7 linked regions of the Danio rerio genome follow. The protein of the gene in region 6 interacts with the protein of the main gene of each other region in a pairwise test. Links are inferred from orthologs where the notes say so. Each region holds a gene or a part of one and is shown on either strand. Other genes may lie near its edges.

Region 1 (3,902 bases), on a different chromosome or scaffold from region 6:
CCTAGAGCACCGTCTGCTGTTATAAACTAGCCTAGAGCACCATCTGCTGTCATAAACTAGCCTAGAGCACCGTCTGCTGTTATAAACTAGCCTAGAGCACCATCTGCTGTTATAAACTAGCCTAGAGCACCGTCTGCTGTTATAAACTAGCCTAGAGCACCGTCTGCTGTTATAAACTAGCCTAGAGCACCATCTGCTGTTATAATAAATGGCCGGCAGCTAGCTTTTCTCAACTCTCACATGGTCGCCCACTGAAGCTAAGCAGGGCTGTGCCCGGTCAGTACCTGGATGGGAGACCACATGGGAAAGCTCGGTTGCTGCCGGAAGTGGTGTTAGTGAGGCCAGCAGGGGGCGCCCAACCTGCGGTCTGTGTGGGTCCTAATGCCCCAGTATAGTGACGTGGACGCTATACTGCTCAGTGAGCGCCGTCTTTCGGATGAGACGTTAAACCGAGGTCCCGACTCTCTGTGGTCGTTAAAAATCCCAGGATGTCCTTCGAAAAGAGTAGGGGTTTAACCCCGGCATCCTGGCCAAATCTGCCCACTGGCCTTTGTCCATCATGGCCTCCTAACCATCCCCATATTCCAATTGGTTTCATCGCTGTCTCCTCTCCACCAATCAGCTGGTGTGTGGTGTGCGGTCTGGCGCAAAATGGCTGCCGTCGCGTCATCCAGGTGGATGCTGCACACTGGTGGTGGATGAGGAGACCCCCCCCATTGTGTGTAAAGCGCTTTGAGTGCCCAGAAAAGCGCTATATAAATGTAAGGAATTATTATTATTATTATTATTATTATTATTATTATTATAAACTAGCCTAGAGCACCATCTGCTGTTATAAACTAGCCTAGAGCACCATCTGCTGTTATAAACTAGCCTAGAGCCCCATCTGCTGTTATAAACTAGCCTAGAGCACCGTCTGCTGTTATAAACTAGCCTAGAGCACCATCTGCTGTTATAAACTAGCCTAGAGCCCCATCTGCTGTTATAAACTAGCCTAGAGCACCGTCTGCTGTTATAAACTAGCCTAGAGCGCCGTCTGCTGTTATAACTAGCCTAGAGCACCGTCTGCTGTTATAAACTAGCCTAGAGCGCCGTCTGCTGTTATAACTAGCCTAGAGCACTGTCTGCTGTTATAAACTAGCCTAGAGCACCGTCTGCTGTTATAACTAGCCTAGAGCACTGTCTGCTGTTATAAACTAGCCTAGAGCACCGTCTGCTGTTATAACTAGCCTAGAGCACTGTCTGCTGTTATAAACTAGCCTAGAGCACCGTCTGCTGTTATAACTAGCCTAGAGCACTGTCTGCTGTTATAAACTAGCCTAGAGCGCCGTCTGCTGTTATAACTAGCCTAGAGCACCGTCTGCTGTTATAACTAGCCTAGAGCACTGTCTGCTGTTATAAACTAGCCTAGAGCGCCGTCTGCTGTTATAACTAGCCTAGAGCGCCGTCTGCTGTTATAACTAGCCTAGAGCACTGTCTGCTGTTATAAACTAGCCTAGAGCGCCGTCTGCTGTTATAAACTAGCCTAGAGCTCCATCTGAAGTTAAAAACTAGCCTAGAGCTCCATCTGAAGTTAAAAACTAGCCTAGAGCGCCATCTGCTGTTAAAAAACTAGCCTAGAGCGCCATCTGCTGTTAAAAAACTAGCCTAGAGCAGCATCTGTTATTAAAACGTAGTTCAGAATCAGATCTGGAGAGAATAGTGATGCATTTTGAAAATCTGGCAATTGACGCAGCATTGTTCTTTTAAAGATTATGTTTCAGAATAGCAGCATAGTGGTCGTTTGATCATTGTTGGACACCTTGTGTGTTGCATGCTGTGTTGTTTTTCAGTGCTGGATGCCAGTGTTGTGTCTGAAATGTCGCAAGATCAGTCAGTCTGTGTTGTGTGTCGCTGGCGTATCTGTGTTTCTGAATAAGGAGTGTGTTGTGTGTTCAGGTGGGACTCTCGGGCGACGCACAGGAGCAGATGCGCATGATGCTGAGCCAGAAGGAGTCCAACTACATCCGCCTCAAGCGCGCCAAAATGGACAAATGCATGTTCGAGAAGATCAAGACTCTGGGAATCGGGGCGTTTGGAGAAGTGTGTTTGGCTCGGAAAGTGGACACTGGAGCTCTGTACGCCATGAAGACCCTCCGTAAAAAAGACGTGTTGTTAAGGAACCAGGTAGCCCACGTGAAAGCCGAGCGGGATATTCTCGCTGAAGCGGATAACGAGTGGGTCGTCCGCTTGTACTACTCTTTCCAGGATAAAGATAACTTGTACTTTGTCATGGACTACATCCCTGGAGGAGACATGATGAGTCTTCTGATCCGAATGGGCATTTTTCAGGAGGACTTGGCTCAGTTTTACATCGCAGAGCTCATCTGTGCTGTGGAAAGCGTCCACAAAATGGGTTTCATCCATCGAGACATCAAACCTGACAACATCCTGATCGACCGTGATGGACACATCAAACTGACAGACTTCGGCCTCTGCACTGGATTCAGATGGACTCACGACTCGAAATACTACCAAAGCGGTGAGTCTAACATCTCCAACACCTTTTGGTGAATTGATCCAATGATTTTGTGCTATTATCGTGTAACATCTAGGAAGCTTGTCAAAAGTAACGAGCATGTGCACATTTGAACATGTTCTTTAACACAGCTGATTGGCCGTTGTGTTCACCAGTGCTCAACAGAAATGACTGTGATTGGCCATAAAGGTCATTGGTTTACCACTCTTTACTACTGTTTACCGACACAGAGAGACGCAGACACTACTGCATTTTAAAGTCGCGTCAATCAGCTGATCTGTCAATGAGCTGACATGAGCAAGCCGCTGATGGATCGACTGATCCACGCAGCTTTAAAATGCTCTAGTGTCAGTGTATTTAAAGGGCCATGAAACCCCCTCGTTTCAGCAGGGTGTTTTCACGCCTCTACTTTGGAAAAGGACAGAAAAGTGGGCGTGTCCAGCTCTGTTTAGGGGGGAGTGTCAGAAGGGCAAAAGAGGGATGGGGTGGGAGTGTCTGTTTGACCACGCGCTGAGTTTCAGAGTCAAAACACACACACACACACACACACACACACACACACACACACACACACACACACACACACACACACACAAAGGGGAGAATGTGACTGTGTTTACATGGACATCTGTAATCGAATTATTTGCCAAATGATTAAATGGTGGACTTTAACTGCAGTTTGGCTCTTTCATTCAGGGAATTCATTCATGCCCCTCGTGACAAACGAGATATTTGATTCGAGGAGCTGCTCTAAGCGTGTATTTTTCATGCAATGTTTGATACCGCACGGCGAATGAGAGAAAAAAAAACCTCCGCATTTCCCGGAAACTTAGATGCACACGGCAGATAGTGTCAGAAAGCCGCGTGTGTTATTCCGGTCACTAAATGCGGTGAAAATCCTACACGAAGGTAAAGTTTGGTTGTAGTGTTAACATGTTTACACTCGGTGCAATAGTTAGTTCGATACAAACAAACTGAATAAACAAAGAGCACTGGTCGCTCACTTACCAAATCTGTAGAGACAGGACAATCACCAGCAACTAGAGCCGCGCCTTTATTAAGAGGAGACGAGCAGCGAATCTGGATCTCAGCGTTTGCAGATGAGAACAGCTCTCAGGTAAACAATAATCCTCCTTAGACACGTAAGTTATTGTTGTCGAGCGTCGCATACACTGTTAATCCACACGTGACTCCAGCTGCGCTCTCACAGAGAGAAAATGAAAACAAAACTTCACTGCAGCAAACTATAAAAGCAACACTTCACGCTTGTTTTGCCAACACAACGTGGCGTCTCTGTCGTCTAAACACTGTGACAGTAATGAATATTAATGAAGTTGCACAATAGAGCGCGCTGATTGGTTTGAACCAAGCTTTACTCATGCAT
Region 2 (3,902 bases), on a different chromosome or scaffold from region 6:
TAAGGGTTGCACCAGCTGTGAGTTCATAAGTCCATGCTTGAGGTTTCTTAAAGGTACAGTTCACCCAAAAAAATTCTTATTTTACTATTTACTTTCCCTTAATGGTTATAAACATTCACATGTTCCTTTATTTTAACACAATCAAAGATATTTTGAAGAAAGCTGAAAATCTTTAACCATTGACTTCCATAGTAGAAAAAACAAATCGTATGGAAGTCAATGGTTACAGGTTTTCAGCATTCTTCAAAATATCTTCATTTGTTCAACAGAAGAAAGAAACTTATTGAAACTCATTGAAAAGTATTGAAACAAGTTACAAATGATGACATAACTTTCATTTTGGTGTGAACTATCCTTTTAAGTATGTTAGCCAAATGTAATGGTGTAACGTAAAAATATATAGTAGTGCATTAGTTTTAATTTAGTGTTCCTTTAAATTCTATCTAGGCTGCACTGTAACCTGCACACAGCTCATTAAAACCCCCCAAAAATACACTTGCTTTGGTGGACACATGGCCTAAGGTCCCGCTTCCACCTTGCATGGGTTTTCCCGATTTTTGACCCCACATGACTAGCAGAGACACAATTTTATTTTACTTGCTATAAACAGGCGTTCAAATATGTTATTGTGACTCGCTTTTGGATTTAAATGAGACCATCACCTCTTATGCCATTACATTTTACATGACTTTTGTGCTACTGAATAAACAAACCCACACTACACAGCTTCTGTGAAAGCAGAGAGCAAGCGGATGAAAAGAGCAAAGATGACAAGTAAAATTTATATCGTAATTTGTGTTTTAAGATACACTGCAAAAACAAACTAATCAAATTTGTTTTTAACTACTTGCACAAACCATTTCAGATCATGTTTACAATTCTGTGTTCTCTAGTAAACAGAATAACGAAAATGCATATTAATACCAGGTATGCAGGTGTAAACGGTAGTGATGGTAACACTGATGCTACTCGAATTTTTCCACGTTAAAAGTAGTTTTTGTTCTAACCGCCCATAATGGCTATGAGTGAAGCTTTTATTTTAGAAACGGCTTCTATTTCTGCGTCATGGCTAAACAACAGCACAAACTACTATGACAGTTATCATCTAAGGTGCTGTGTGATAATGTATGTGAATGTATGTGAATGTGAGAGTATATGGATGTTTCCCAGTACAAGGTTGCAGCTGGAAGGGCATCCGCTGTGTCAAACATATGCTGGTAACATGGATCCCAAGGTTTCCATATCCTGGATCAGGCCGTATCCTGAGCAGCTGCTGTGGTGGTCATGGAGGAGTGGAGAGCGTGAGACTGATTCCTGTGACGCTCCAGAGACAGACAAGTCTTCGCTGAGGCCAGCTTCCAGCCTCCGCCGCTGAAACTGCAGCTCTGCACAAGACGTTTGGCCAGCGGAAAAATGGAAATGGCCGTGCCCAATTGAGTCTGGTTTCTCTCGAGTTTTTTTTTCTTCACTTTTGCCAATTGGTGAAGTTTTTTTTTTCTTTGCCGCTGTCGCCACTAGCTTGCATGGTTCGGGATCTGTAGAGCTACGCATCGAGGGATTTGCTCTTCAGTGTTTGGACTCTCAGTAGTGATTATTAAACCACACTGAACTAAGCTGGACTGAACTTAAACTCTGAAAATTGAACTGACACTGTTTCAATTTACTATGATCTTTTATGTGAAGCTGCTTTAACACAATCTACATTGTAAAAGCGCTTATATTCATAAGGTGAATTGAATTTAATTGAATATGTTGGCGGTTCATTCCACTGTGGCGACCCCTGATAAATAAAGGGACTAAGCTGAAGGAAAATGAATGAATAATGGTTATTAATGTTACTAACGGTACAATGTCTTATGCATGAATGCTTTTAAAATTCTCATTCAGTCACAGGCCGCAAAAACACATGCAAATGATAAATTACAATACAAATCCTGCGATTTGTCTATTGCAAATGATCACATTGTGATATCGATGCTGAAAAGATATTGTAGTTTTCAGCTCTCACCTTGAGAGTTCCGTCTCTCGTGAGTATTTCATATCCTGAAGCTGAGTCTGTAGTGTGTTTCTCTCTTCTTTCAGTTCCTGCAGCATTCTCTCGTTTTCTGCTTTCATCTTCTCCAAATGACCATGAGTTTCTCCCTGAGAGACAAACCTGTCCACTATTTCCTATTATAAGAGACACCATGAATAAACAATCCTAACCTGAACATAAAGAAGTAGTCTATATGCACTGAAATATATATACACTGTCCTCACCTGTGAGTCTGTGACTCCAGTGGCTTCTTTGATGCGCTGGAAAGCTTCTTCAAACGTAGATGTGGTTTCTGCTTCTTCTCCTACTATGATGGCGCTGCGCTGGGCCTCGCTGCTCAGCTCATCGGGGTGCATGGTGGCCCATTGAGGCTGGATAAGAGACATGCAGAAGAAGAAAAGAGATATACTAAACAAAACCATACTAAAACACTTTGGCACTGTCACCTCACAGCATGAAGCTTGCTGGTCCGAACCCCGGCTGGACCAATTGCCACTTGTGTATGGAGTTTGCATGTTCTCCCTGTTCATGTGGGTTTACTCTGGGTGTTCCGGTTTCCCCCACAGTCCAAAGGCATGCGCTATAGGTGAATTTGGTAAACAAAATCGGCTGTAGTGTATGACTGTGTGAATGTGAAAGTGTATGTGTGTTTCCCAGTACTGAGTTGTGGCTGGAAGGGCATCCTCTGCGTAAAAACAATGCTGGAATAGTTGGTGGTTCATATGGCAACCTCTGATAAATCAGACTGAATGAATGAATGAATGAATAATTGATGGTATGAATGATCTAAGAAATTTTAAGTGGAAACATACAGAAAGATACACACAATAAAAGTTGTTTCTAATACTTAATATTTGTTAAGTTTTAGAATGATTCATTTTTAAACTGTTTTTCCGGTCTACTGATTTGAAACGGAGTAACTGAACGTTAATTTTGGAGCTTATTAGCCATGAAGAAAGCGCGTGTTTTTACTGTATGAAATTTGTGGAAACTGATGTGTTCTTTCAGGATTCTTTAATAAACTGAAATCAATGATCAATATTTAATGAAAATTTGAATATTTTGTGGTAAAATTTTAAATATCTTTCTGCCTTTGTCAACTTCATGTGGCTTAGTAAACTTAATTATTAATTTGTTTTTCTTAATTATCCCTCACATTTGAAAATAATGTCTAAACCAAAATGTTCATTCAATCATTTTCCTTCGGCTTAGTCTCTTTTTTAGAGGTTGCCACAGCGGAATGAACCACCAACTATTCCAGCATATGTTGTAAGCAGCGGATGCCCTTCCAGCCGCAACCCAGTATTGGAAAACACCCATACACACTCATTCACACACACTCATACACTACAGCCAATTTAGTTTATTCAATTCACCTATAGCGTAGGTCTTTGGATTGTGGGGGCAAGCGGATCACCTGCAGGAACACGCAAACATGGGGACAACATGCAAACTCCAAACAGAAATTCCAACTGGCCCAGTGGGGACTTGAACCTGCGACCTTCTTGCTGTGAGTGCTAAAATATTAGGCAGTAAAATTAAATAATCCAAAATGTTACTTGAACATTATAGAATGACATCTGAAGAATGGAGTAACTACTTCTCATATTCAGCTTTGCCATAACAAGAATAAATTATTTTAAATTACTATATATATATATATATATATATATATATATATATATATATATATATATATATATATATATATATATATTATACAGTTATTTTTAATATATATTTTGAATTAAATAAATATTGAGAATAACAGACATTTAAAAATGTAAACATTCCAAACCTTTGATTAGTAGTGTATCTACTTTTAACTAAATTAATTGCCTATTTTAACCAACACTGTTGTGTTTTG
Region 3 (4,461 bases), on a different chromosome or scaffold from region 6:
ACACACACACACACACACACACGAGCATGCGCTGCAGCATACGCTCATGTCTGAGCTCCAGGTGACTGCGGGTGCTTTAAACACAAAACCTCAGAGAGCAGTGCACGTCGAACAGTTTATCAAGAATGTACCGCTGAATCGTGTCTCACTATAGTTGTTAAAGGTGATATTTAATTAATCTTGTCTCAGGTCACAGCGTCAGTACACTGCTTCAATCTTTCGCTTTCACGCTTGTACTTAGTAATTTTAGCGAAAACCTCAGAGACAGATCACTCAGCCTATTCATGCCAGAGTCCTGCGGAAAAAGTGATTGACAGGTGGTGATTTGTGTGTAATTTTATTTATTTGTGATTTGGTTATGAGTAAAATAAAGACCATGTGGGTCAGGTAGTTGAAACGGTAGGCTAATAACTAATAATTAATTCTTTATGAATTAAATAATTATTCATAAATAATGAATTCACCGCAGCCTACGACGACAATCCCATCATTCATCCTGATGTTTCACATTAGACACTGTAAGATGTCAAATTGGTCGACATCGCCCAACCCTATTTTCACTGTCCCTTTATTGTGTGATATGACGAAACAGTGATCTTAAACAGAAAAGTATTTTCAATTCAAATGATTGCAGGTTTGGCTAGAAAACAGCATTGCATAGATCTCAACTTAACTGCTTATTCACATCTTAATGACAAAATGTTTGTGGAAATAAAAACCTTTTTTGGCTTTGGCATGTGCGGCTTCCTGTTTCTCCAGCTGTGTCTCTCTTTCTTTCCATCTCCTGATCTGTTCTTCTCTCATTTTAAAGAAGAGAACTTGTTTCTGTTCCTCGTTCAGCTCAGCCAGGAGATCCGGCTCAATGTACATGTCGATCAGTATCTGCTGCAGCATCTTCCCGTGTCACTGACAAACACCACCTTGACAGAACTCAAATATCTTCAGTCAGCAGAGGGGTAATAGGGGTGTCTCTTGTTCTTTGAGAGAGGTGGACTGTAAAAACACAACCATTTCAAACTCTTTTATGTTCTTCCTCAGACGAAACGTTATAGAAAATAAATTACGATACTTTACACAAACAAAGAAAAAAATACATCATAAACAAAACATTTCAACCACATAAAGCTAAAAAAAAATCTCAAAGAGAGAGAAAAAAGTTGGAGATAGATTTAGTTTGGGTTCTACCAATAAGGATTAAGCATTTATCTAGATTAAGATTTTGAATTATTTTGGATTGTTACCTGATAAGACTAATACATTTACATTTACAAATGAGGACAAGGAAGCAATTTACACAACTATAAGTGCAACAATGAATAAGTGCTGTAGGCAAGTTTCAGGAATGTAAAGTGTAAGAAGCAAAACATTAGTATTTTTTTTTCTGTAATACAGTTAGCGATGGAGCCAGAGAGGCAATTGCAGATAAGGAAGGAAAGTAATGGATGAAAAAAAAAAAAAAAAACAATAGATGAAAAACACAAAATAGCAACAGGAAATGTTGAGAATTTTTTTTACCACTTCATTTAGCCTAATTTCTTGCAAAAAATGCTTTTTAGCAACTCATTTCGTTTGGTATACTTTGTATCTTTATTTTAATGTATTTTTGCTGGTCAGTTATCTACAAAATAAACTAAATAAATCAATACATTTTAGGTAAAGTGGCATTTTTTTTTTAATAATAAAGGAATTATGAATTCAATTCAAGTAGGCCTATTATAACATTTTAAAATATAATATTTGACAATTTTCTTTATTTAATAGATTTGAGTTATGAATTACAGCATTACAATACTACTTGGTATCACAATACTTTAGCTGGTATAGTATCGTAACATGAATTAATGGTATCGCGACAACCCTAGTTTGTAGACTACCTAAAGGCATCACTTTAGTTTTACTGAAATTAATCCTATAACCTGATAGGCACTAAAATCTTTAATAACATTAATAAAATTATTTAAAGATATTTCTGGTTTTGATAAGAAAACAAAACAAAAATGAGACGAATCTCATGTACTACATTAAAAATCATTGATTAGCTTTAACATCTGCTTCATTTTAATTTCCATTGTTGGAACCAAATGATGAACACAGAATTGTTATACATATCAATTAGAAATCAGTATTGTGAGATGTAAAAAACTGAACAAGTAAAAAGTCAGATAAAATATAACTGAAGGCATAAACAGAATTCTGACTCCTTTTTGTGGGGAAATTTGGATATTTAAGCTCAGAAATGCTGGAAACAAAAGTCACAATTACACTTAAGTCACAATGTAAAAACATAGGAATACAGTGTAGTCTAACTGTTAAACGGATGTCTGGTAATCTCGAGACAAATTTATCATATTTGAACAAACCCAGAAGTTTTACATACAATATAAGAATGTAAACAAGCAACAGGAAGCTACACAAAACAGTCAATCAATCAATGCCAGATCAAATCCAGCACTAATGACTCACACACGCAGAGAGAGAGAGAGAGAGAGAGAGAGAGAGAGAGAGAGAGAGAGAGAGAGAGAGAGAGAGAGAGAGAGAGAGAGGTAAACTTACCGCTTTAATCAAGTCTTGACACACTCATTACTCGCATGGGGATTTGAGAAACACTTCAGTGGCTTACCTAAAAACAATCCCAAAAAAACGCCGACTATAACCTTTCATTCCTTTGAGAACTACACCTAACATTAGGAGAAACCTGTACAGAAAGGTAATTCTCGAGTGAAGTCAGTGGTAATGTTGAACACACCCTTAAAACTCAAACTCAGTTCCCTCCTACACTTGGTTCTTCCTCCGGCTCCGTGTGAAAGACACATTCAGCTGCATGAAAGGTGCTTTATGTGCCGCTCTTATATTTGTTTGCTTTATTAGACATGCGCGCAGTTCCTCTTAAATGCCGTCAGCCACACAATTCTAACTCATTTACTATAGCAATATAGTATATTTTGGTATATTTTGGATACATATTTAGTTACACATAGCGTAGCTAGCTTTAGCTTACATCCGTCCAGCAGATTCTTTTAAACCTCACAGTGCAGGTGAAAGGCGAAAAGTGCAGAGACTCAGCGTGGAATGTGTTGTTCAATGACCTCTGACACGGATAGGAAACAATTTTAAAGATTGAGTGATTTTAAGCAATTTTTCAAAGTTAAATTAAACGTACATAAACAGAGCGTTATACATTATGCACTGTTCATAATACAATATTGCATAATTAAATAACACAAATATTGATTAGTTGTGACGAACGACCCGCACTAGATAGAGCACTTGTCCATAAAAAAACACTGAAATAGCATATGGGTTGACAATATCTTAATGTTACCTTTCAGATTGGCATGCATACATTGTTTTGTTTTATGTTGAATTTAATGTACATAAACAGCGTGATAAAATAGTTTCATAATACCTCTGATTTGCATATTTTAAAAATCTTGATTTGAGCAATATCAGTGGTGACGAACAACCCACACTAGGTGGCGCACTTGTCATAAACCACCACCGAAATCGCACATGGCTGAAATTTCTTGATTTTCTTTCAGAGGCCTATGCATACATTTTATATATTAATCATGTAGTTTCAGTATGCTGTATCCACTGAAAAATAATAATGTAATGTAATATTTTAACAGTGTGTAGTGCAATAAGATTGTCATTGTGAGATTTTTTGTGTTTAATAAATCAGTTTCCTTGGCAGATGGACTGAATCATTATAAGGACACAAACATATACGTAATTAATGAAAATAAACAGCACATAGTTCGAACAATTAACTCTTATGAACTGCTTAGTTTCAGTGAATCATGTAGCATCCAATTTTCTGTTGCCTGAACTAAAATGGTCCTGTGGTCCACTACAGTGAACATGCTGTAAAATTAAAAATAAAAACAAAACGTAAAAAATGTAAAAACTCTAAATTGTAGATTTTTTTTAACCCAAAGGAGGTAGGAAATCACACATAAAAAAAGAAAAAAACATTCTTTGGGGCGACGCAGTGGCACAGTAGGTAGTGCTGTCGCCTCACAGCAAGAAGGTCGCTGGTTTGAGCCTCGGCTCAGTTGGCGTTTCTGTGTGGAGTTTGCAGGTTCTCCCTGCGTTCGCGTAGGTTTTCCCCACAGTCCAAAGACATGCGGTACAGGTGAATTAGTTAAACTAAATTGTCCATAGTGTATAAGTGTGTGTGTGAATGAGTGTGTGTGTGGATGTTTCCCAGAGATTGGTTGCGGCTGGAAGGGCATCCACTGCGAAAAACTTGCTGGATAAGTTGGCGGTTCATTCCGCTGTGGTGACCCTGGATTAATAAAGGGACTGAGCCGACAAAAAAATGAATGAATGAATGAACATTCTTTGGGTCTGAGGAGGATACAATCATTATTTATTTAGAAGCTGAACTTAAGTCAATGGAATTATTTATTATTTAACTTATTTATTTAAATATAAAGATATAATATATAAAAATATTGA
Region 4 (4,683 bases), on a different chromosome or scaffold from region 6:
TTTTACATGGTTTAATATTTTTTTGTTATTAAAATTGAAGTTCCTGTTTCAAAGCTTACAGATAGATGACTAATCTGTATGTCATTGACACTTTTGGCACTTTTTTTGGAGTATTTTCATAAGTTTTGTTTTTTCTGTAAATGATTCAATAAATACCGTACCGTGACATTCATACCGAGGTATTACCGTACCGTGAAATTCTGATACCGTTACATCCCTAATATACACCAAACATCTTTAAGAAAAGAACAATATATACATTATTGCAAACAAGACAAATACAAACTACAACATCAACTCCATTTTTTTAATGTTTATGTTGATTTTTGTCCTGTTAATTAAAATTTTACTTGATATTTTCTCTCAACATATTAATTATGTGTACAAATTTTTGAACTGTGATCTTTAGTTTATTTGTTGTTAGATTTATTCCAAATTTTGCTTTGGTACTGAATAATTTAATGTATATGCAAAAACATAAAGCATTTTGTAGATATATTAATTCAAAATATTGATCTGTGAGGGGTGTACTTTGCTATATTTATGTAGCATATGAATTACATAATTAAATAAAAAATATATTAAGAAAGCACTGACTGATATAAAGAAGTAGGCTACATTTCTTAAAGAATGACTTTAAAGCTGCAAACCGGTTGATGAATCCGGGCAAGAAAGGTAATTTAAGTGATTTGAACGTGGTATTGTTGTTGGTACCAGACAGGCTGGTCTGAGTATTTCAGAAACTGCTGAGCTATAGGGATTTTTACACACAACTATCTCTAGGATGCATCTATGCTCAACCTTCAGGGTTTCGCGACAGTAATGTGCACGAACAGCTATCTACATTATTTACACTGAACTCAGATTAGTTAGATCAAATGATCTTCAACTTTCTGATATGGAACCAATTTAAGCGTGGATGTTTAGTTCGGCTCATTGAAGTCAGGTTTTTGACTTTAATCCCCTCTTTTCTAAACCAATTTTAGGAAATTCATTTAGACACGTTTTGTCTGGAAACCACCATAGGAAATGGTCTAAGCAAATCTGATTTATATCAGTCTCAAATGCGTTTTAAGGGCCATTTAGCTATCCGATCACAGAAAAAATGCATGTAGTGACCAGGTGTAAACAAGAGCAGTTTAGAGGCATTTAGCAGGTGAATCAACTTTTCCAGAAACTTCAATTTGCCTAGCCATTTTAAACTCCAAACTAATTTCCTTTTGGCCTGATTTTGATCAAAACGACATCATCCACCCATTTAAATATAAGAATATGAACATATGCAGAGATCAGCAAGACTTGTGATTGAAGGATACGGCCCTGCTCAATGAAGGTGATGGCGTTCCTTAGGTTCTGAGCCATGCGCAGTTTCAGCATGATTGTGGGAAGCCGCCTCCTGTAGAAAAGACAACATTGAACAACATTCAAAAATTGTCTGCATCTCCTGCACTGCATAAAAACACTCACATATTAGTTGTCAGTGTGCAGGACTTGTGTAAATTATTTTATTATTCAAATCAAAAAATATATTGAAATTTGAATGTTTGAATTGAAAGTTTATGGTGTCATTTCAACAAATGTACGGTGCTGCTTTCAAAAACTCAACAACAACAAAAAAAGAATTTTTTTATTTAAAAACCTTACATTTAAATCTAGTACAAGAACTATGAAAAATAATGCACAACAATATTTCAGAAACCGCTTTTGAAGATTACCAGAATTGAATTCATCAAATTGTTTTAAAGTTCTTTGAACATGACTGTTTAAAACAGAGTAGCACATTCAAAACATCATCATTACTCTAAAGTACATGAAGGGCTTTATTTCATGGCACTATATATGTGTTTGTATGCATGTATGTATGTATGTATGTATGTATGTATGTATGTATGCTGGAGGTGCAAATTTTAAAGGTGCTTAATTTAAAATGATTAGTGATTTAATAAGTCTTTGAATCTGGTGTCCACGAAAGCATGGGGACCCTAAACATTAATAATTAATGTTTCTTGATTATCAAATCAACATATTGGAATAATTAAATAAAGCACAGTAACTTTACTCACCTGCAGAATGCAGATGCTGACACTTCATTTGCGAGAGAGAGGTTCTGTTTGGTGGGAATCAAACCGACACTGTATCTGCAAAACAGAAATCTTACAAATGTAGAAACTACTAAAACTTTAGTAAACTCCTTACAGAATGAGGTGTACACAAAAAACCAAGGTCAACAAGCTTTTAAAAATCGGAATAATATACAGATTCACATTTTATTTACTGTACAATTTTTATTCTGAACAAAAAATATAAGACATCTATTTTATCTATCATAAATTTTACCATGACTTACAGATAGCGCTAATAAACATGTATTACAATAGTTTGTATAGAAATAAAATCTTGTTTCGAGTATAGTTAGATTTAGAATTATTAAATAACATTAATAGACTTAAGATTTAATACAAATTAAATTTCGTCAAACAAACAAATAACTTTAAATATAATAAAGTTCATAAGATTCCTTTTAAACCTGTTTTTAATCATTTTTATTCTTTGCTGTTTTTCTTTTCTTCTTTCTTTTATTCATGTTTATGTAAAGTATTTAGATTACCTTTGTGTATGGAATCTGCTATATAAATAAACTTGTCTATTATCGCTTATGCTTTTATATATTCTAAACTAAAACAATTTCTGTATATTCATGACAATAAAATGTGACAGGTTCCCAAACTTACAGTTTTTCCAAGAAAAGGGCTGTACTCTGAGATCTGAATCCATCTTTTGCGTCCAAGTCCCGTATTTTCTGCGCCAATTCTCTGATATTTCGACTAAGTTTGTTGTATCTAAAGAGAAATCACGAATGCATTAATTGATAAGCCGCGTTTTATTCACAGTGATGTATTAGACCCATAACTTCAGAGAAACACAGTCATTGATAGAAGCATTTTCTTTACTCACTTGGTATAATCTTCCCTCTTCTCAATATGGTATTTTCTCAACACTTTAACCTCGTGTATATTGTTGTCAACCTCCCAGTTAATAAAATCAACTTTCTTCAAGAGTTTCTGCTCGTGAAATTTTAATTTACGTACCATTTTGCTAAAAAACACGGGCTATATTTATGGCTAAACGTGTTAATAACTTGCTCACTTCAGCTTACGCACGCGTGCTTTTTATTCACTGTGGTTTTCTGTAAAAACGTAGCTGTTAAGCTCGATATCGCCGCACAGTGTTCAGGAGGGAAACACTATAATTTTTAAATAAACAAATAAATAAACAAATAAATAAATAAATACATTTATCAATTAATCTATTTATTAATTTATTAATTAATTAACGCTTTTATCCAGAGCGACTTTAACAGATAAAGAATCCAACTGATCAAACAACACAGCCTGTCAAATAACACATTTTACTTAAAATTATAACTTTATAATAATAATATTAATAATAAAAAATCACAAAACAAATAAAATGGCCAAATAAACAGTAAAACAATAAATTAAGTAGCAAAATATACTATACATTTTCATTTCAAAACTTTGGCTACTCGCAGCTTTGCAGTATGTAAACTGATCAAATTAGACAGATTTTGCGCTGACGTAAACGTATTATAATTGATCTAAGTCATCAGGAGATGTCACTGGGGGAAAAAATGTATTTTCACATGACAGGAAAACCGACACGACATAAATCACTATCAAACCTTAGTTTCATCTTTGCAGAAAGTGAGGTAAAGGAAGTGAATGTTTATAAGAAATGGCGATCATATCCATCCATTGGACGGCGTGTGTGAGCCTCGAACAGGTAGGGTACAGTACAAATTAAAGCTCTTTACAGACATTACGAACATTATAATAGCCTGTGCTACTTGGAAATTCAATCATGACAGCGATTTTCATTTAAATGTAAGGACGTTCATGTAGCCTACTTTATGCGCGGAAAGCTGACAGAAAGTTTGATTTTGGAATTTAGAACCAGAAACCTATAAACTACGAACAAACGTTTTAGCTTTGCGAGTGTGTTGAAATAAAGAGAGAAAGAAATTTGATATCTTGATGGTGATAGTGAGAATGTGCTCTGGGGAATTTCTTTCATATATTTTTTTAAGTGTTGGAACTTGAACTATATGTAATATCATTAATACAGACTGTATGCAACAGAGTCTTTATTTGACAAAAAAATAAATTTCAATAAATTTAATTTTCTTTTTAATAATATTATTAATCATTTTGCACGTGTCCTTGAAATTGCTGTCCACCCCATCATGTGGTAAATGCCCCTTTAAGAAACCCTCTGATGTACTCATTGGCATCCCCATTTTGCCTTCTCTTCAGAGTCTCAGTCTAGTATATCCTTTAAAAGTCCATATAATAGAGCTCATTGACTGTTTGAAATAAAAACACAGCCCTAAGTATTTCTACATTTATGTGAACATCTGTATAATTAAATAATGTAAATAACATGTGTATCTAATTATTTACCTTATTCTGAAAAAAAAAATCTGTATCATTAAGGTGTTCAACTTGAGTTGCTTCCTACACTCCATTCACTCCTCCAATACAATGTACAATGTAAAGATTTACATTCAATATGCAAATATAATTTAAAGCACAATAATTGTTTATTTTCTCATTAATTTCCATATCAATAAAACCTAATTGATAACAGCAGAGGCGGTGTGGT
Region 5 (4,590 bases), on a different chromosome or scaffold from region 6:
ATTTTTAACCTTTATAGGGTTATTTATTTAATAACTCAACCAGTTGGGTTAAATATTGATGCTTTGTTTGGTTATTTTTATTCTGTATTAGGTTATTTATTAATAACTCAACCAGTTGGGTTAAATATTGATGCTTTGTTGGGTTATTTTTAACCTTTATAGGGTTATTTATTAATAACTCAACCAGTTGGGTTAAATATTGATGCTTTGTTGGGTTATTTTTAACCTTTATAGGGTTATTTATATAATAACTCAACCAGTTGGGTTAAATATTAATGCTTTGTTTGGTTATTTTTATTCTGTATTAGGTTATTTATTAATAACTCAACCAGTTGGGTTAAATATTGATGCTTTGTTGGGTTATTTTTAACCTTTATAGGGTTATTTATATAATAACTCAACCAGTTGGGTTAAATATTGATGCTTTGTTTGGTTATTTTTATTCTGTATTAGGTTATTTATTAATAACTCAACCAGTTTGGTTAAATATTGATGCTTTGTTGGGTTATTTTTTATTAGGTTATTTATATAATAACTCAACCAGTTTGGTTATAATTTAGAATGTCAACAAACAACTGATTTAACTGACACAGAACAGCGGTATTAATATGCGTCTGTAATGTTGTATTTGTGCTATAAAGTTTATTTAAGCTCCAACACAATATTGTTGTTCTTTTTTTAATCAAATGACCTCTCAGTGTCGCGTTTTTTATATCCATTTCACCAGCACTCTTAATTATTGATTAAGACACACTTCACACTTCATAGACGATTTATATTAAATGGATAAAATGTTTTCTCGACCTCCTGTGTTCATCTCTGCGCTTTGTTTTTTGGAAATGATACACATATGGGATATCTGGCCGGATTCTCACCTTCAGGACCCAGCGGAGACATTTACATATTTACACAGCCATAATTATGAAATAGTAGTAATAGTAAAAGTAATACCAGAATGGAAAAAATACATTTAATCAAAATAACCCAATGCATTGGGATAAAATAACCCAAAGTTGGGTAGGTGCCATAATAACCTATAGTTGGGTTATATTTTGGGGTACTATTAACCTAACTATTTTAACAGAGTATTTACTTTATATAATTTGCTTATTGATTTTATTAATTATGGGTCAATTTTTGAATTAATGTTAATTGTTTTGTTGTTGCATTTTAGTTTTAAATGAGTTCAGAAAGTATATTTTATTTCTAAGTAGCGCATATTCACTTTCGGCTAATTATTGTTTAGTTTTGTTTCAATGCAGGGTTTTTGCTTTCGGAATTAATAATAAAAAAACTCAACCATTAGCTATAAAATCTTCAACCTGTTTTCTAAATTAATAGAATATGTTTTAAACATATCAGAAGGATGCAAAGTAGGAATCACTGGTCCCTTTTACTAAATATTAAGTTTAATTCTTCATTCTTGAAGCTGTTAGTTGACAGAAACAATGCTGGTCTAATCATTCAGACAGTTATTAAGTAGAAAAAAACAGGCTTTTCTGTTTCATTAATTGTATTTAATATGCAATATAATCATTGTGGGCGGATTGCAATAGCAAAACTTCACTATTTAGAGCAAGGTAGAGCCCCAATATTACTCTGCTTAGGGCCCCCAAATGTACACGGCCGGCCCTGCCCGCATGTGGGGCAAATAGTAACATTTATCCTCCTGGCATTTTTAGCAACACTGCACAGAAACCATAGATCCGGCGATCATACAACCAGCGCTCATTTGTAGGAGAGGCTTGTGTGTTGTTGGTAAAAATCAAACGGTTTGTCTTACTCCATTACTTTATTCATTACTTGGCCAAAACCAAAAACTTTGTGCCCCACTCTTCCCTACATCATGTTAAATGTCTCATTATTAAGCCTGTTATCACATATAGTTTTCTTCAGGAACTCCTATCAAAAGCGAAATGTTTCTTGATCATCAAATCATAATGATTTCTGAAGGATCATGTGACAGCTTCACATCACAGCTGTCATTTATGTTTAAATCTATTCAAATTCAACGAAGACAGCTATTCCTTATCCTAATAATACTGTTTTACTACATTCTTAATCAAATAGATAAGCACAAGTTCCTTTTTCGTATATACACACATTAAGCAGAACTACAGATGCTCCTCATTTCTCATCCACACCAACACCACAGTGACATAACAGCTCCAGCAATTCCTGTCAAAACGGGTCAGAGGAGCAGCTAAGAATAATAGAGGTTAATTGTGAATTATTTATACGTACAAATCATTACACAACAATCTCAACACAACGCGAGGGTTATATGAAGCTCATGTGCACATTTATAATGCCACAGCAGAGCTGAATAAAGGCCAAAGAGACAGCCACGACGCTGGAGAAGCGCAATACACCGACATGCAGGCGTTATAGAAAGAAGCAGCGTCGTATTTCAGGCTCTTATTTGAAGTCGGCATGTGCTCGAAATCGAAGATCAGCAGAAAAACGCGTGAGGGTCGTGATTATTATTCATCCATCCATCCATGCATCCATTCATTAATTTCAATGGATTCTCACAGAGCTCTAAACGCTCATCACCCTCGCGTTCACAATTAAAGACAGATGAAATCAAACGGCCAAGAGGCTCCATCGCGTCCATCTTCAGCTCAATCCCAAACCAAAAAACCCTCAAACCCTGCGGGATCATCCTCATCCCGCATCTTACATCCGCCTGATCATCAAAGGAGCCGCGGGCGCGCCTGGAATTCTCCTGAACGGATACAATGTTGCAAACCAACCGAACGCGGCGGCCAAACGTTCCAAAAATGATTTAAGCGAATGCATTTTAGCGCCAGTACCTGCCGAAGAGCGCGTTCCACCCACCTGAAGTGTGTCACTGCTCTTAGACTTCGCGATGTGGCTCGACTCCACCCGAACGCGACGAGGAAAAACCCGCAACACCTCGAGCTCACCGTCCGCGCGCTCCTCCGCCAAACGCGCTCACACGTCGAGTGTTTCCCCGGTTAGTTCTCACTCTCTTCCTCTTCTCTCTCTCTCTAGTTCATAAGATGTGAGGGGAACCTCGGTGTGACGCAGGAGAGGATGCAGGTGTCGCTGCGCCTTTAAGATCCCCGACGGACACGCGGATGAGCGTCCGGCGCGCACTCCCGATATTCGGTATCGCCGAAGGATCGTACAGGGAGATTTTTTAGTTGCCAGGGCGCTCCGGAGGCACGTGAGGTTTCCCTGCTTAATGTGACATCACCGGGTCTCCCAGTCACCAATATGACGCTAGCGAGCGGCCGTGACGTAACTTAAAGCAACTTTTAAACACGATAGCAGGGTGATATGGTGGTACTTTGATTCCTCCTCACACTGTATTGAAATCTACATATTCTTATTTCTTTGGTACATTTTTAGCAAGCAAAGCACTTTAATATGCTTAAATGTTAAATATAATGTGCAATATGCAAATGGAATGTCATATTAAAAGTGTTTCATGGCAAGCTCAAATATGATCACATTTATGTTGCAGTTTAAAAATAAATCTCATTAAAGTTACTACTGTCATGATGAAAAAACCAAAACACCTTTAGACACATTATCATGTTGATAAGTCCACGCCCGTAGCAATTTAATTGACCACTAGCCAAAGTTTTTAGACACAAATGCACACATTTTCATCTAAGTTACTGTTTATTTGTTTTGTTAAGATTTTAAATTTTATTTGGACACAATCAATTCAATTCAATTCAGCTTTATTTGTATAGCACTTTTACAATGTAGATTGTGTCAAAGCAGCTTCACATAGATGGTCATAGTAACTGGAACAGTGTAGTTCAGTTTTTAGTGTTTAAGTTCAGTTCAGTTCAGTTCAGTTCAGTGTGATTTAAAATCATTACTGAGAGTTCAAACACTGAAAAGCAAATTCATCGATGCGTAGCTCTACCAATCCTGAACCATGCGAGCCAGTGGCGACAGCGGAGAGGGAAAAAAACTGATCACTACCTCCAACAATTTTAAAGCATTAATATTAATAATGTGCATCTTATAATATAATCTATTTTTTATAATATAAAGTTGGCTGTAATCTCTCTGATCATTTTTGGATGCGCCTTTAAATGTTTATATGCAGGCCTGTAGCCAGCCTGGTGGATTTTCTCAATAAGTGGACTTATTTGCAGTTATTCACCTCATTTTCAATTTAATTAAGAGGTTTAAATACTGAATTTTAATCACATTAAGCACTTTTCTGTTTAAATAGCTTGTCGGATGGTCATCATAACCAAACTTTTTGATGTACCAAAACATTTCCTAAAATATTCTGAAAAAAAAAACATTAAATTATTACATGATTTATCATTAAGAAAAAAAATAGGATTCGCTAAATGTTTTTAAAGACAGTAGCTTATGTTCATTTATTAGGCAAATAATAATCTGGCCAGCAGATTCAACTTTCCTCAGTTAGAATTTAGCCATTTGAATAAAACAAATAAGTAAAAAAACAATAATAGGTCACACTTTTTTGATGCTCTGTTGAATTTAAGTTACTTTGCATCTACATACCAACTAATTCTTATTAGATTATAGGTAGACTGTTAGGTTAGGGTTAATGTGCTTAATAATGTGTCT
Region 6 (3,902 bases):
ATATATAAACAGTGAAATGTATTATATTATCAGTTGTAAATATAAATAGATAAATAAATAAATATATAATAATATTAATCTTATTACCATGCATTATTAATACATTGACACTCATGAAACAAACAAGCATCAAAAAGCATGAAAAAGGCCATTAAATCTAGCATGGCGTTAAACACAAATTTAATACATTGGCATTTGTACAATTTTAACATGTAGATGTATGACTGTCTACGTTTAAATTCATATTTACTAATATTTTAGATCTCTCTGAAAAGAATCCGCAATAAAGTCATAATTCAGGGCGCATATTCAAAAAAGAGAATTATTGATGTAAGTATTTTCTTTGAATAAATATTTTTAAATGCTTTTAAATATTTGTAAATATTTTAAATGATAGAGAATGGCCAAATTTATATTTATAGAACATATGTGCAAATGTTTTATTCTAGCCATTAAAAAAAATAAATTAATAAATATTTAAAAACTAATTTCTAACCATATAAGAACTTTGTGACTTAGGAGTCCTCTTCACTACTCCTAATGTTTCATTAATTTAGGAGCTAGTGTTTTGAAAAAGCTTTTGTGAAATACTATGAGTGAAATGTTGGAGTCCTAAATTTAGGACAGAAACTCCATTTAAATCTATTATTTAGAAGTAAGATTCTCTCCTAAATCATCAAGTTAAGAGCTCCTTTTAGCTTTAAGATGTCAGTATGACAATAAATTGTCAAAAATGTTTTTTGCAAAAAAACAAAACTTAATTTTTAGTGCCTGTTGAATGATGATGAATTTGACCACATGAATGTCAACACTACAAAACGGTCCGATTTTATGTGTTCTCAACTACCTTTGGATGTGGACGAAAGTGGAAAATCTTAAAACATTTTAGTCTTTGTCTACACCTGTATAAAGCCATGTCCACCTGTGATCAGAATGATGAAAACATCCTAATACCAGATGTAAACAGAACCAAGTGTTTCTATAAAGATGTAACTTTTTTTTTTTTTAAATAGGTGGACAACTGGAACCCACTGACCGACACAGTGCCCATTCATTCATGGATTCATCCCTGGCTACCTCTTATGCAAACCCGTCTTGAGCCGCTGTATGCACCCATCCGTAGTAAACTAGCCCATGCTCTGCAGCGCTGGCACCCCAGCGATTCCTCCGCCAGACTCATTCTGCAACCCTGGAGAGATGTCTTCACACCCGGCGCCTGGGAGGCCTTCATGGTCAAAAATATTGTCCCCAAACTGGGTATGTGCTTTTTTGCTAGACTGTCAGACTTTGGGAGACTTGGATGGCATGTGAAGGTTTTTCTCCTGTGTTTCAGCTTTGTGTTTAGGAGAGCTAGTGGTCAATCCTCATCAGCAGTTGCTCGATCCATTTAACTGGGTGATGGACTGGGAATGTATGCTCTCTGTCTCTTCCATGGTCGGACTCCTGGATAAAAATTTCTTCCCCAAATGGCTACAGGTCAGCCTTACAGAGTTTTACAGTTATGCCTGTTTCACATTGTAAGCGAGAGCAGAGCATAAGCAGCACGTGCACAGAGCAGATTGAGAGCAGATGTAGCGCACAGGCGTTTGCCTTTCACAGTAGCTCTGTCAGCAGCACGCAGTGCATCAGCAGTTATTGCACTGTTTAAGTTGTTTAAGTTCATTTAATTGAATATATAAAAATCTGGGGACATTATCGATGCATTTATTGGGTAAAATTGCTACTTTTTACGGTCATTCAATGTGTTTTTGGTCGTTATCAATCCACTGTCACTTTAATTGAGCGTGAGCAGCATGGCAAAAATAGACCCAGCACTGAAACTATCGCTCACGCTCCACGCTGACATGCTGCTTCTGCGTGCAGTATGAAAGCTCTAATCTGTTAACATGGACGCCGAAAAAACACGCGCTGCTTAAGCTCTGCTCGCGGTGTGAAAGATGGGTTAGTCAGTGTAATGCATTAGCATAGCTTGTATTTCTTTGGGATTGGGACAAAACATGAAAGACTGTTGTGTACTGTTGGGGATGTTTTCATTCACTCTGTGGTGCTTTTTGAGTCGTAAGTTGGCCAAAACTTTGTCTGTGTTACAACAAATGGAATCATTTTTGGTGACAAATTTTTTGACACATATTTTGGGAAAATGCTTTGAAAATGTTTAAAAATACACCTTGGGAAAATTTGCTACCCTTTCATTATTTCTGTTTCTGTTTTTTCCTATTGACTTACATTATAATCATATTTTTGCAAAGCCAAAAATTGCAAAGCCATGACACCATATAATCATGCATTCTTAATTGTTGTTGGTGGTTTTCCCCTCTTGGAAAGAGGTGCAATTTAATTTTTTTACTGTTGATCATTAATTGAAGAGCAAAAAAAAAGCTCAGTTTCTGTCTTCTATACTAGTGTGTGTGAGAGAGACACCTTTGCACATTTTTCTTAATATGTTTGAGAAAATCAAAATAAGCAGCTCAGCTCTCAGAAAATAGTAAACATATTAAGAGTATTTATACACACACACACACACACACACACAATAATCTAAACAATAATTTTTTGCACATGCCTATCTAAAGTGTTAATGCTGCCAACTGATGTTCATCAGTAAAAATGACACATTTACCTTATCCCAACAGGGTAAACCACCAACAATCAAGAATGCATGATTATATGGTGTCATGGCTTCGCAACAAAATAAAAATGTAATTATAATGGAAGTCAATGATGCTAAAACAGCCACAAACATAACAAAAGGGCAGTATACTCGAAAAGTACACAAAGGTTAAGAATGTTTTTAGCTCGGATAGTTCACTCAAATAAAACTTTCATCCAAGATGTAGGAAGGCATGGGATGATAATTGTTTTCAAAGTAAGCTGCGGTTTGGAAAAGTTAAGGTTTTAAAACCGTCAACATTTTCTGCTGCACAGTAATCACAATACTGTCAAACCGGGATATTTTTATCCAAGGTTATTATACCGTCAGAATCTTATACCAGCTCATGCCTAAATGTAGGTGCCATTTTCGTCTTTAAACACTAAAGAGTAAAAGAGAACATTAAAGAGTTCTAGCTGATAAAAGTAGTCATTAAATGCCATGGCTCCGGATGACACACTGATGTTTTGTAGGCACTCCTACTACATTTGTTCACGGTTTCTTTGTCTCCTATTGCAGGTGTTGTGCTCTTGGCTCAGTAATAACCCAAACTATGAGGAGATCACTAAATGGTATCTGGGCTGGAAGGGCTTGCTCTCAGAGAACCTGCTCAGTCACCCATTAGTCAAAGAAAAACTCAACGAAGCCCTCGACATCATGAACCGTGCCGTTGCTTCTGGACTCGGTCAGTCACATGCTAAAAAAATAATGTTCACTTAATTCATCCATTCTACCTTCAACTTCTCATACATTTGCTGTCCTTGCAGGGGGTTATATGCAACCTGGAGCAAGAGAGAACATTGCATACCTGATTCAGACAGAGAGAAGGAAGGATTTCCAATGCGAGCTTCAGCCAGAGCGGCGCGAAGTGGACAATTCTGCCACACGGCCACCAGGAATGGCAGCGGTGCCAGCATCTGTACCGACCAACTTTAAAGATCTAGTACAGGCCAAGGCCGAAGAGAACGGCATCGTCTTTATGCCACTGGTAGCCAAACGGCACATGGGCAAACAGCTATTCACATTTGGCAGAATAGTCATCTACATCGAGCGTGGAGTGGTGTTTGTCCAAGGTGAGAAAACCTGGGTTCCAACATCACTACAGAGTCTTATTGACATGGCCAAATGAGGCGGAGGTTTGAATATTGCTCTCTAATCTAGTTCTGTGTTGCTTTAAACTGTTTGTCTATCAATATTGTTTATACTGCTGAATAAACTTGTGCTTTAATTAATGGTTGATCGTTTCATTCAG
Region 7 (3,902 bases), on a different chromosome or scaffold from region 6:
AGCAAAAATTAAATCATTAAAAATTATTGAATCTCTAAAGAATCTCTAAATAACATCAAGCTCATTAGATTTGAGATTTTGCAACTCAATAATACAGCATTTATACAGTACAGCACTTAGTAAACTGCTTATAATGTCTACTTAAGTCGCATTAGCACATGCTTAAGAAATAATAAACTAACAATTTGCTAATGATTAATAAACAATTCGTAACGTGCAGTAATTGCAAAGTGTTACCAAAAAGTCTTAAAGCTAAGCATTGGAGCAAAAAACAACTTGTGGAAAATAGATGGCATGAACTTCGTATTTGAGAGGCCTGAAATCTCTGTGGATGGAGTTCTGTTTCATTTCACACGGCAATTTGGGAGAGGACTGTGTCAAAAGCACTTGACGAGAAGAGCTGCATTAGATGTTGTGCTGCCGTGTTTAATCGCTTTAGAGCCCATACTGTAGACAGCTGTTAAATAAAAAATAAAAGAGGAAACACAGAGGATAAGCCTCTGCTGCTGGCATATCAAACACAGATAAATGATTTTCAGCATTAACCGACAGTGATATGGTAAAATAGGGCACGAGTCCAGAGTAACAGCTGAGTCCACAGATGAGGGCAGATCACAGAAATGGATACTAAATAAAAAAAAAAAGCATATAAAGAAGAAAACCGTAATCATCCATGTTTTTTTCAATGTTTTTCCCTTTGCATTTTTAAAGTTTTACGTATATATGACAAGCTTTCAACAATTCACATTTACACACATAAGAAAAAACTGTCAAACATGCTGTATTACATATGCCAGGACAATAGTTGGCACTACTTTTGATTCCATCCATCTATTTTTATGCGCATTTGGGATAAACGATTGATGAAAACACATAAATGTGCATAAAAACATACGTGCTTAACTGAGTAGGATAAACTTCTATTCAATAAGAAAATGTGCATAAACTGCGATGGAAACACTTTTACCATACAAATTCCAGTATGCACACTGAAAAAAGGTCATGTGATTCAGTTATATGAGATCATGTGATGATAAACGTGTCAATAGACAAACCAGCCTTAACGGTTTCAGTAATAGTGTAATGATATTATTAATGACCTCCAGAATAGAGGACCTGTGCTCCACATCTCATGCCTTCAAACAACGCCACGTGCTAATTGCGTGTCAACATCATCTTCTAAGGCACAAGTCAATTATTAAATGAAGAAAAGATTGACACAGCTTCTCCTACCACAGCAAATTGCTTTTTTTACTATTGATATTTGGTGCCATTAATAAGGAAATGATGATTTTGTTTTCTTTGACTTGTTGAATGGAAAAACTGCTTGATTCGCATGTCTTTTATGCAATATTCCAGTTTTGCGCATCAATTTAATTAGCATTTCTGGATGGCAACATAGCTACTGTTACCTTATTAGTAAACAGTACCTGTAGGGAAGTGATGATTCGCTCTTTAGGAACGAGTATTTTAGATTTGACGTTTGTATATGATGCGTCCACATTGTTGGTTGCTCTCGTTTATTGCAGGAGTTACATTCTAAAAATAGGTGAAATCCACGAAGTAGACAGCTTTACTTTTTACAATTCTAACAAACAAATTATAAATTACAATTTTAAGGCTGTAAAACCCCTCACTACACAATTTATACACTTTTATCAGAAAATCATTACCATTTTCACATTTTTAATTTTTGTTTAAACACTTTCAAAAAATAAAAAGTTCAAACTTTTATAGAAAAATAACTCCAGTATTATAGAATGAAACCATAGATCAAAACTGGTTGTCAGGCGCAAACATTCAGCGCTGTCCGCCAAAGATTCATAAAGCTTTTTCGCTTTTGTGTGGATAATGTTAGCATCCAGCGTAATGTTTTTTTTCCTGCAGTCACTGATCAGCAAAGCGAAAGCAGACTCCATCCTTTTAGGGGTCGTTCACCGGATCCGACGCGCACATACAGTAAGAAGTAACACAAACTATACGCACACATTAACATGTTATTTATAATTAAATTATTCAGATGTAGCGTGGCAGAAATACGAACAGTGTCCTGAGTCATAGCTAGGCGCCACTGACAGCCATCAACTTGCGATGCCGGTGTGCGTATCCTGATAGAAACCTATGTTTGCATGGCGCTGACTGGCGCAGTGCATACAGTCTGCGACCCCTTTTTTGATGATCTTGCTGCAGACACCCTTTTTGCATCCTTGTTAAAACTCACACTGCTAGTGATCATAGATTTGTGTTAATTTGGAAAACTGAATGCATTTTGCACTGCACAGGAGAAATAGAGGAGATTTATTGACAATGGTCAAACTAGCAGCAGCAAACTAGCTAAACGCAGCATCACACTGTCTCATTCTCACACATAGATACGCGTGCTCGCTTGCTCGAGAGTCAGGAGTAATACTTTTAGACCACCCGCTCCCGTCCAAAATTAAACCAGTTACCGACCGTTCCTGCGCTTTATACGAAAATTTATTCTCGCGCCGCAGAAATCTGGTCAGCTCCCTCGGTACAGCCGCGGGAATGCAGACTTCTAGTCTACATCCAATTACGCAGAACATAATGAGCTGTGTAAAAAAAAAAAAAAAAAAAGCAAGTCAAAATTTTCACGATTTGCACTTTGCAGGAAAGATCTGATTGAGGCCTAGTTTGTGGCCTTTGTATGTAATCTATTTTGTATGTGAATACTTGAATTTGTAAACCCAGCATTAGAGTAAACATACAGTAAACAGCCCTAACATGTTACCAGGAGGAGAATTTTACAACAGGGACTGATTTGAGATTGCAATTTACAAAACATGAAGCACTTTTTTGTGCACTTATTTTAGTGTTTCTCATGTTATGCTTTCAATATCTTACCTTTTACCCAACTAGGTCACAGTCATCCACCTGTCGCCTCCTCACAGTCTCTAAGAGCTGTCAGTCATTCAGTAAATATAGCTCAGAGTGTGAAACTGTATGAAAGTGTTTACCTGAGAGATGTGGTTGATGGAGGACTCCATGCGGCGCAGCTGAGACGCCTGGATGTCCAGCATTTGAAGCACATTGTTGGCGAGAGTGTTGATCAGGTAGGCCACACTGGCCAGGGATTGAGTAGTGTAGTTCTTGGTTTCCTCTAGAGCGACATGCTTGTCTGGAGCCTGAAAGAGAAACAAAAGAGTAACAGTCAGTGCGCAATTTAATCAGAGCCATTTAAAGGATTCAAGCTGTGGTAGTTAAGGGATTTGTGCTGATTTAAAAAAAACATATTACAACATTAATGGTCCAAAAGCTTTTTAAAGTTAAACTCACAATGCAACTATTATATTGTACTGATCTCAGAATGCTCAACGAAATCGAATTAGATTAAAATCTCTAGTCAGTATCAAGCCAAATCTAATAATAATAGTAATAATAATGTTAATAATAATAATAATAATGCATTTTATTTAAAGGCACCTCAAGAAAGACCACACAACATAGCAAGAACAACCAACAGATAAACACAAAATTAAAAGACAAAAAAATATAGTACAATTAAAAAAACAAAGTAGAGTTTTGAGTTTGGATTTGAAATGTGAAAGTTTAAATTACGGAGATCAGGAGGAAGTGAGTTCCAGAGATGAGGAAATCAATCAAATCTAGGGATGCACAATATATCGCCAGCCATATTGATATAAACCGATAAATGCTATTATTAATGTTATTGTTAATATTATCTATCCAATACCAAAATTAGGCGATAGAATATGTAATTGTACAAAACTGCCTGCCTTGCATGCGTAGACAAAGCCTTTAGTTCTTTCATTTTATTTAAAATGTTTATTTAACTTTGTTAATTAAATCCCATTTTTTATTAAGCCAATTATTTTTATGGAACAGTCGAGTTGCATGTTAATTTGCTATGAGAAGAAAAG

Evidence for each region.
Region 1: the proteins of tfip11 (region 6) and lats1 interact in a two-hybrid assay, tested with the Homo sapiens proteins (2 studies listed by BioGRID and IntAct). The two-hybrid records come from large-scale screens. The link is inferred for Danio rerio from reciprocal best matches to the Homo sapiens genes TFIP11 and LATS1.
Region 2: the proteins of tfip11 (region 6) and odad3 interact in binary tests that used the Homo sapiens proteins (3 or more experiments, as listed by UniProt). The two-hybrid records come from large-scale screens. The link is inferred for Danio rerio from reciprocal best matches to the Homo sapiens genes TFIP11 and ODAD3.
Region 3: the proteins of tfip11 (region 6) and sh2d4a interact in binary tests that used the Homo sapiens proteins (3 or more experiments, as listed by UniProt). The two-hybrid records come from large-scale screens. The link is inferred for Danio rerio from reciprocal best matches to the Homo sapiens genes TFIP11 and SH2D4A.
Region 4: the proteins of tfip11 (region 6) and imp3 interact in binary tests that used the Homo sapiens proteins (3 or more experiments, as listed by UniProt). The two-hybrid records come from large-scale screens. The link is inferred for Danio rerio from reciprocal best matches to the Homo sapiens genes TFIP11 and IMP3.
Region 5: the proteins of tfip11 (region 6) and gng4 interact in a two-hybrid assay, tested with the Homo sapiens proteins (2 studies listed by BioGRID and IntAct). The two-hybrid records come from large-scale screens. The link is inferred for Danio rerio from reciprocal best matches to the Homo sapiens genes TFIP11 and GNG4.
Region 7: the proteins of tfip11 (region 6) and abi2a interact in binary tests that used the Homo sapiens proteins (3 or more experiments, as listed by UniProt). The link is inferred for Danio rerio from reciprocal best matches to the Homo sapiens genes TFIP11 and ABI2.

The regions. Positions count from the first base shown.
Region 1 is NC_133195.1:1,293,262-1,297,163, reverse strand, and holds part of lats1 (serine/threonine-protein kinase LATS1), read left to right. Parts: intron 1-1,938; coding exon 1,939-2,521; intron 2,522-3,902. UniProt on the Homo sapiens protein: Negative regulator of YAP1 in the Hippo signaling pathway that plays a pivotal role in organ size control and tumor suppression by restricting proliferation and promoting apoptosis.
Region 2 is NC_133181.1:9,171,182-9,175,083, forward strand, and holds part of odad3 (coiled-coil domain-containing protein 151), read right to left. Parts: intron 2,407-3,902; coding exon 2,260-2,406; intron 2,170-2,259; coding exon 2,009-2,169; intron 1-2,008. UniProt on the Homo sapiens protein: Component of the outer dynein arm-docking complex (ODA-DC) that mediates outer dynein arms (ODA) binding onto the doublet microtubule. Involved in mediating assembly of both ODAs and their axonemal docking complex onto ciliary microtubules.
Region 3 is NC_133185.1:7,483,854-7,488,314, forward strand, and holds the start of sh2d4a (SH2 domain-containing protein 4A), read right to left. Parts: upstream 3,102-4,461; 5' UTR 2,999-3,101; intron 2,824-2,998; exon of another isoform or gene 2,747-2,823; intron 2,621-2,746; 5' UTR 2,554-2,620; intron 994-2,553; 5' UTR 895-993; coding exon 720-894; intron 1-719. UniProt on the Homo sapiens protein: Inhibits estrogen-induced cell proliferation by competing with PLCG for binding to ESR1, blocking the effect of estrogen on PLCG and repressing estrogen-induced proliferation. May play a role in T-cell development and function.
Region 4 is NC_133177.1:10,337,117-10,341,799, forward strand, and holds the start of imp3 (U3 small nucleolar ribonucleoprotein protein IMP3), read right to left. Parts: upstream 3,190-4,683; 5' UTR 3,093-3,189; coding exon 2,956-3,092; intron 2,841-2,955; coding exon 2,733-2,840; intron 2,139-2,732; coding exon 2,064-2,138; intron 1,397-2,063; coding exon 1,317-1,396; intron 1-1,316. UniProt on the Homo sapiens protein: Component of the 60-80S U3 small nucleolar ribonucleoprotein (U3 snoRNP). Required for the early cleavages during pre-18S ribosomal RNA processing. Part of the small subunit (SSU) processome, first precursor of the small eukaryotic ribosomal subunit.
Region 5 is NC_133188.1:53,673,416-53,678,005, forward strand, and holds the start of gng4 (guanine nucleotide-binding protein G(I)/G(S)/G(O) subunit gamma-4), read right to left. Parts: upstream 3,141-4,590; 5' UTR 2,817-3,140; intron 1-2,816. UniProt on the Homo sapiens protein: Guanine nucleotide-binding proteins (G proteins) are involved as a modulator or transducer in various transmembrane signaling systems.
Region 6 is NC_133198.1:20,750,028-20,753,929, reverse strand, and holds the end of tfip11 (tuftelin-interacting protein 11), read left to right. Parts: intron 1-1,013; coding exon 1,014-1,257; intron 1,258-1,333; coding exon 1,334-1,476; intron 1,477-3,169; coding exon 3,170-3,335; intron 3,336-3,417; coding exon 3,418-3,779; 3' UTR 3,780-3,882; downstream 3,883-3,902. UniProt on the Homo sapiens protein: Involved in pre-mRNA splicing, specifically in spliceosome disassembly during late-stage splicing events. Intron turnover seems to proceed through reactions in two lariat-intron associated complexes termed Intron Large (IL) and Intron Small (IS).
Region 7 is NC_133184.1:13,911,321-13,915,222, reverse strand, and holds part of abi2a (abl interactor 2a), read right to left. Parts: intron 3,147-3,902; coding exon 2,979-3,146; intron 1-2,978. UniProt on the Homo sapiens protein: Regulator of actin cytoskeleton dynamics underlying cell motility and adhesion. Functions as a component of the WAVE complex, which activates actin nucleating machinery Arp2/3 to drive lamellipodia formation.